2 linked regions of the Notamacropus eugenii genome follow. The protein of the gene in region 2 interacts with the protein of the main gene of each other region in a pairwise test. Links are inferred from orthologs where the notes say so. Each region holds a gene or a part of one and is shown on either strand. Other genes may lie near its edges.

Region 1 (3,900 bases), on a different chromosome or scaffold from region 2:
CCTGTAACTTGTTTTGCTCTGCTCCAAGGGAGGATTGCAATAGAAAATGAAAAAAAAAAACAACCACAAAACACTTTTCTACAAAAGGACAATAAATTGTCATACTCCATCAGTTCTCCTAACGATCTGGTCACTGAACACAGATGGCTCTGGAGGAGAAAGTGAGGCTAGTGACCGTCCTCACTCAAATCGAAGTCAACTGCACGTCATGTCATCATTTCCCTGATGTCATGCTCCTCTTGGAAAACTCAGGACAAACACAAATCCCTCACAGCCTGCTTACCATCGGTTAACCAATAAAAATTATGTTCATGATCATGCAACACTGATATCATCTTTAACTTCAAAGAAAACACCTCAGACTTTCTGTCCACTATAGTGTTTTAAGCTTTACAAAGTGCATTCTTCAACTTTGTGAGGGAGGTAGTGTAAATATAGCCCCATTTTACAAATAAAGCAAGGCTGAGAAGTAAAGTAGGCACGTGGCCAGACTTCAAATTCCTGGCATTCTTAATACTACCATTTATATAATGGCTTTTTGCATATATTATTGCACTTGATCCTAACAAGAGGGGTGGAGAAGGATCTTTATTATCACCCTAACTTTTGAGGATGAAACCGAGGTTGAACGAGATTACGTGACTACTCAGGATAGTTAATCAGATAACAAATGCTGGAAGAACTCGAACTCAAATTTTGAACTCTACCGACTCCCAAGTCTAGCACCTTCCCACCAACCTTACCTCGAATCACAGATAGCAACCTTAAGCAAAGTCAAGGAGACAAATTCAAAGCAACAAGTGACAAGAACACTGAGAATTCACCCTCCTGAAAGAAGGTAAGCTAAGTAACATCAAGTGATCTAACAATTCTCCCAGATGTCAACGACGCTTAGGACAGAAAAAGGAAGGACTCTCCAGACTGTAAAACTAGACGACGCCAGAACTCCCCACCTCTACACCTGGCACAGCTTTCAGACCTTCCTTCCAAGCAGACCTGATTCGGTTGTCCCTTCGCTCAGGGTCTCTCCTCCCGGGTGACCTTCAGAAGCTGGGGCCACCCTTCTCCATCTCTACTTCACTTTTTCCTTCCCTTCCACTTCCATGCCTGTTCCCACTGTTGGCAGATGCTTCTAAATGCCCTCTACTCTACTCCCTCTGTAGAATTCCTACCCACCTTTGAAGCACAACTGCAACACCCCCTTTACCAAGCCCGCCGGAGTTCTCCAGATCCCCCGCTGGCACCCCCAGGACCTCCGGGATGCACCGACCACACACCAGGGATGCGTGTCTAGGAGCCACCTCCTCACCCCCGGACTTAACCTCCCTTAACCTTTGGTCTCTTCTGGCCACTTTCTGAACCCACGCGGGGGGAGGCTGCGATGGCTCCCGGGACCACACCCACTAACACCACGTCGAGAACCAGCAGAAACCGGCGGTCTCAGCCCCCGGCCGGGGGGCCCCGAAAGTGGGAACAACGGAAGGCAGGGACTCCCGCCCGGTCCCCGCCAGCCCATCCTCACTGGAACAGGGAAGAACGGAACGGGAGGAAGGGCCTGGTTGGCCGCGGCCGTGCAGACCTCCCCCCCCTCCCCCCCGGCCCCGACACGTGCACACGCCGAGGGCAAGCCAGCGGCCCCGCCTCCCCCCGCCCGAGGCCGGGCCAACGCAGCCCGGCCCTGCCCCGCCTGGCCCGGCCCACGGAGCTTCTCCCTTCAAGTTCCCAGGCTTCGGAGCGGACCACGAGGCTCCCCTTCCCCGGCAGGTCGGCTGCCGCTCGGCCGGGACCATTGGGGTCCCTCTACACATCGCATCGGGTCGGACTGGCTTCCCCGCCCCCTCCGCATTCTCCCTTCGCCCTCCCCCCGCCCCGCGGGAGCCCGGCGCTTCCAGGGCCCGGCCTCCGCCCCGCCCCCCCCCCGGGCCCTCCCGCACCAACCACTGGCACCCCCTCCCATTGGGCGGTGCAAGCCGTTCGGTCCGCTCCCGAGAGAAGGCGCCAAAAGCTGAGCGAAGACGAACGAGATCGGGAAAGGGAGGCCTGAAGGGCCGACGGGGCAGGAAGCGCAAAAGGAACCCGCGCGGAGGGGTCACGGAACGGGGGAGGCGCGGGGACCGAGCCTTCGGGGGCCCCACCCCGGGACGCGCCGCTCTCACCTCAGGCGCCGCCACCGCCGCGCTCCGCTCCGCTCCAGCCCCGCGCTCTGACCTACTTTCCCCTCCCGAGCGAGACGTAAACAATCTCCTCCCCGAGTCCCGCCCCCACCACCCCATTGGTCCCTCGCCCGGGAGAAGGAAAGTCAGGCCTGGATCGCCGTCTCGGTTGGATGAGCCACCCTCCGGGAATGGGAGAAGGGAGGGACTCGCGGGGCCAGTGGCTAAACAGTCTGTCAATCCTCAACCCGCGTCCCCATAGGAGGAACAGGGGCAAGTCAGAGCCAAGTCTACCGCGCACACTGGCCCGAAGGCCAGAAATTGAGGGAGTAGCCAATTTTTCGGATTTAGAAGAAAGCCCACCTCCATTTCCCAGGAGTCGCGGGGCCGGGTGGCAGGCACGCCTTCGGAGATTTGATTGGTTAAGAAAAGAGGACACGAGCAAAGAGGCGGGAGAAGGGGAGAGATGTTGCTTCGGATTGGCTGAAACGTCCCTCACTCCAGGCGGAAGAAGGGAAGGGGTGTGTGTACGCAGATGGAGGCGGAAGTTGTGACGTGAGGTGGCGCCCGGCAGAATGGAGGCCGCACAGGGTGAGTGAGTTCAGGAGGAGCTCCTCCGAGAGCCTCTCCCGAGACAGTCGCCGTCCCAAGCCTCTTACCTTGAAAGGTGGAAACCACCTGCGTGGTCCGGAGTCGGGGCGGGTCTGCGGGAGCCAGGTGAACGAGGCGCCCCCAGGAAGTCGGCGGCTCGCTCTGCTCGAGTAGCTGAGCATGCGCGAGGAGTCTCCCTCCCGCGGGAGATGAGGGTTCTCCCCCTCCCCGCCCAGGGGTGGAGTCGGGGCCGCCCCTGAATTGAAGGTCTCGGGGGAGCTGAGGCGGAGGGGGCGGGAGTCTGAACTTAGCGCCGGCGTGACTGGGCCGGGCGAGGGCGGGTGGAGGCGCCCCGGAACCCGACTCCCGACGCCTCAGCCGGCCCTGTCCGGCTCGGCGCGTCCTGTCCGGGCTAGTTCCCCCACGTGACCCCGCTCCGTCTGCCCTCCCCCCGTCAGCGGACCCTTCCCCTCCTCGCTCCAGTTCTGGTGTCCACCCCCCCCATTCCCCCGAGGAGCTCACTAGGCGGCGGTCCGTCCAGGCTCCCTTGCTTGGAAGAAGGCAGGTTCGTACACACCCGGTGCGGCTCTTCATGGCCCACGCCGGCCCCTCCTCTTTGCCCCGCCATCTGCCTTCCAGGGTGACCCATGTCAGTCCGGTTCCCACCCTCGGTCCAGTCCCCCTCTCCACCCCAGGCTCCTGTCCCTCCAGCGCCCCCTACGGTGACTCCCCTTCCAGCAGTCATGAGCTGCTTAGGGTTCCCCTACCCCAACTCCTGTCAATCCAGTCCTTTCTCTTCCCTTGTCTCCCCCAGTCTGGCTTGGGGGGAGGATGACGCCCCCACTGGGGTTTAGAATACCTGACGGTTTACCGGAGGTGCTGGCTCACATTGGTCAGGAACTTTCCTCACCCATGCCTGTCTACGCAGTGAAAAGAGTTTTGGGGAAAAATTATTGGAAGATTATTTCTTTTTACATTTCCAGAGAAAAAGATTTTGCTTCCTGTGGCCTTTTCCTTTGATTCTTGATCCAGATCTTGCATCATTTTCCTTCTCTCATCCGAACCAATCTCAGTGATACCGAGACTATCTCGCCTCATACACTAGAATAACTTCTGTGGTGAGAATTTCTAGGGTCCCTGAGTAAACCAGCCCAGA
Region 2 (3,900 bases):
TTCCCAGCTCTCTGTCCCTTCCTCTCTCCAGCCTCCGTTCCTTCATTCCTCATTTGTCCATTCTCACCTTCCATCTCTCCTCTCTCCATTTCTTCATACTTCTCTCCATCCCTCCATCCCCTACCTCTCCATCTTTCATCATCCCCATCTCTCCATCCTTCCATCCTCTCTGCCTCTATCCCTTCATCCTCATCTTTTCATCTTTCATTCCCCATCTCCCCAGTCTTATCTCTCCTCCATTCTTTATTTTTCCATCCCTTCATCGCCCATCTCCTCAGTCCTTTCATCTCCCATCTCCTCATCCCTCATCTTATCCTGGACATAACCTCATCTTGAGTTGCAGATTGTCAGAACTAGCAAGGACCCTGCAGTCATCCAGCCCAATTCCCTTGTTTTTACATAAGGGGAAACTGAGGTCTAACAGAGAGAGGAATTTGCCCTGGGCCTGACGCACACAGGAAAGAGACTAGAGCATTGCTTTCCCAACTCCCCTGGGATCCCAGAGCTCTTGCCCCACCCTGGTGCCCCCCACTCTCACCCTGACTGGGAAGCTGCACCTGCCCTTCCGAACAGCATCCTCATCAGCCTGCCATTGGTGCGGGCGGGAAGCCTCGGGGACATAGGCCGGCTTCCTGCGCCGTAGGCTCTGACGCAGCTTGTTCATGGTGCCAGCACCGTCTGGGGACAAGGAGGGTCTTCAGGGTCAGGGGCCAGAGTTGGAGCAGGAGTGGTTGTGGTTCTTAGTTCTGAGCTTGTGGCTTCCTGTAGATGCATCTGCCCAAGCACCATGGGGGAGGCAGCTGAGGGGCCCAGACACTAAACGGATTTATCACTTCTGCTCCTGACTGGGCTCTACTTCCCCAGGTAGGCTGGGAGCTTTTCAAAGGGGTTCTTTCCTATAGACTTTGCTTCCCTTCCAGCTCCCCACTAAGACACCTCCCTCAGTCTCCCTGGCCTCCATGGGCTTTCCCCCAACCCCTCTCCCCACCAGACTGTTGTACTCACTCACCGGGCTCCGTCCTGAAGGTTTGGGGGGGCCCCAGGGCCAGGCGAGGAGGGGCTGAGGACAAACGCTGATGGGCCCTCCTGGGCCTTTCCTGCCCAGACACAGGACCAGGCTTTGAGGGTCTGGGGTTCCCCTATCTCATGGAGCTCCCCTTGCCTGGAACACACTGATCCCTGCTCCACCTCTGTGACCTTTGGCATAGGCCCCTGGAAGGGACCAAGGAGTCCTGCCCCTTTTGCCTTGGCCTGCCTGACTCCTGCCCTGGTTGCTATAGCAACAGTTACCAGGGAGACCATTCCCATGGTTATGAGGCCCCAGGAATGAGGGGGTAGGGGTAAAGACAGGGTAGAGGTAAAGAGGGTATTAGCTGTATCCTCCTAGTTGTCCCAGCTATCTCCCAGGGAACACCCCTTTCCATGGGCCTGGCTGACAGCGGCCCACTTATATCTTAGATAGGGTGTGGGCTCAGAAATGAACATGGCTCATCCACTTAGGGAAAAAGAAGGGGCTCGGAGCTTTAGGGGTATAGAGGGAAGGCCTAAGTCTGTTTCAACTAAGACACACCCTGAGCAACACAGACACTCTCCCAAAGGGACAGTTTCAGGTGACAGAGCAGCAATCCCGCAGGCAGGCACAGTCCCACACAGACAGGCAGCCACACAAACCTAGCACCCAGACACACTGAGAGGCCTTGGAGCTACAAGCGCACCAACATGCAGTCTTAGCCATTAGCCACACATGATCGCAGACACACAAACATACAGCACAGACTCCCGCAGGCAGAATATGGAGACAATCACAGAAATCTACAGTGATAGCCACAGGGTCTAAAATCACACATTATCCCTCACACACAGGCCCAGGGAGAGAGCACCATACCCACAGACCAACAGACAGCCACGGAAGACACACACACACAACCTGCAAAGTCACAACCTGTCTCCCAGCCAGACAAACACACACACAGAGGCACAGACCCACAAGAGTTCCCCAGCCTATCTGGAAGTCACACACACACACGAGGACGATCACATAGGGCACCCAAGACCAGGCAGAGGTATCCGTCCTGCACAGCTGGCTCCGAGGGTAGGGGGCTAGTGACCCTGAAGGTGACAGGTGACAGGGAGACGCCCCCGGCTCTCTCTCTTCACGGGCCTCCAGGATCGGGTCGGATCGGATCAGACTGGATTGGGGGTTGGGGGGAGGCAGGCCCGCATTTTCCGCGGGCGGGGCTCTCAGTCGCCTCCACAACAGCTGGGCTGAGGCCGAGGACAGCCCGAGTGGGGACAAAGGGGAGGGGGCTGGACGGGGCAGGGGGGGCGCTATCTTTGCAGAGCCCCCCTCCCATCCCCGGGCCCCCTCGCAGCATCCCCGTCCTCGAGTCTCCCTTTCTCTGAGCCCTTCTCGGGTCCCGAGTCCTCGGGTCCCATCCCATCCCACCCCATCTCATCTCACCCCATCTCATCCCAGCCCGGCCCAGCCCGGCCCAACTCGGCCCAGTCCCACCGCGCAGGCCGCTTACTGCGCTCGCTCCGCTCCTCTCGGGGGCTGCCGCCGCACTCCGGGACATCCAGGGGCCCCGGCGCCCCCGCCTTCTGCGGACCCCGGTGGGTCCGGCTTCCCTCCAGTCCCGGCCCGGCCCCGGGACAGCTCTGCAGCAGCGGTGCCGACTGACGGAGTCGGGGCACGGGGACGGAGGCCGGGGGATGGTGGGGGCCGCACACGCACGCGCCTGCTCGGCTCCCGGGAGGATTCCATTGGGGGGGCCGCCCCCCCCCCGCCCCAGCCCCGACTCCCCCTCACAGCGCCCCCTTCGCCCTTAAAACCCCACCCCCGTCCCCGCCCATTGGCCCGCCGCCCGCTCTATATGCAAAAGAAGACCTAGCCCTCCCCTCCGCCACGTCCGACCCGGCCGCTTGGCCACGCCCCTTTCCCCCCCACATTGGCCCACCTCCCCTCACTGGCCCACCGCCCACTCAGTATGTGAAAAGACACCGCCCATTGGCCCAGTGCCTGCTCAATATGCAAAACAGCCCCTCCTCCCCCTGCGCTCCTAGACCCCGCCCTAAGCCGCCCCCCGAAAATATTCGTCAGTAACAGTTGCTTCTCCCAGGCGTTGCCCAGCCAATCCCCGGGTTCCGCTCCGCGATGCCCTTTGACTCCAGGACTCCTCAGTCCGGGAGCCCACAATGGCTTTTTTTTGTCCGTCCTCACACCCCAAGCCCCCCAAGTGGGGGGCACATTTTTAGATGGCGGGGTGGTTCAGGGTTCTGGGGATCTTTCCGGTCAAGTCTGTTCTTAGGGCCCTCACCCACCCCTGCAGCCTCCCGGGGCTTGGGGGAACTGTGGCTGCGGAAGAATATGGGCCTTTGGGAGGTGGGTGGGGTTTTTTGGGGCAGCTCCAGGCACCCCTTCATCCTATGGGCTTGGCAACTGCCGCCAGACCTGGGCATTAAGATCCATTAGCGGGCTAGCCAGTTCAACCAAGCTACCTTTGGGCAACAGTAATGAACACAGAAGGGACCCTGCCTTAGGCACCACCCATTACACCCCCAACCCTCTTCTCTAGTCCCCAGGGCCCAGCTGTGCCCCCTGGGCGTCCCCTAGTCCCACTAGGGGGAGCTGGGATATGGGGGGGTAGGGGCCAGTCTGTCAGCTAGCAGAGCAGGTGGCCAGCACGTGGGGGGGCAGGGAGGTTGTTCCTTTGGCAACAGATGGTTGGGGGCTTGGGCTTTTCAGGACTAGGGGGAAGGGGGAGGAACAAGCCTGGCCAGGCCATCTGCACCTGGAGTCCCTACTCCCAGTAGCCTCGCCCATCTTTTCAGCCTCACTCCACCCCCAATCCCAGAAAATGAGAAGGGGTAGGAGAGAGGAGGATGGCTCCCTTTTATTTA

Evidence for each region.
Region 1: the proteins of NUMBL (region 2) and SPSB3 interact in binary tests that used the Homo sapiens proteins (3 or more experiments, as listed by UniProt). The two-hybrid records come from large-scale screens. The link is inferred for Notamacropus eugenii from reciprocal best matches to the Homo sapiens genes NUMBL and SPSB3.

Annotation. Positions count from the first base shown.
Region 1 is NC_092872.1:48,808,975-48,812,874, reverse strand, and holds the start of SPSB3 (SPRY domain-containing SOCS box protein 3), read right to left. Parts: upstream 2,297-3,900; 5' UTR 2,274-2,296; coding exon 2,157-2,273; exon of another isoform or gene 1,935-2,156; intron 1,603-1,934; exon of another isoform or gene 1,177-1,602; intron 1-1,176. Other genes in the region: cytosolic Fe-S cluster assembly factor NUBP2, read left to right, coding at 2,729-2,744.
Region 2 is NC_092876.1:30,927,527-30,931,426, reverse strand, and holds the start of NUMBL (numb-like protein), read right to left. Parts: upstream 2,800-3,900; 5' UTR 2,577-2,799; coding exon 2,529-2,576; intron 1,213-2,528; exon of another isoform or gene 1,098-1,212; coding exon 1,010-1,097; intron 775-1,009; exon of another isoform or gene 679-774; coding exon 539-678; intron 1-538. UniProt on the Homo sapiens protein: Plays a role in the process of neurogenesis. Required throughout embryonic neurogenesis to maintain neural progenitor cells, also called radial glial cells (RGCs), by allowing their daughter cells to choose progenitor over neuronal cell fate.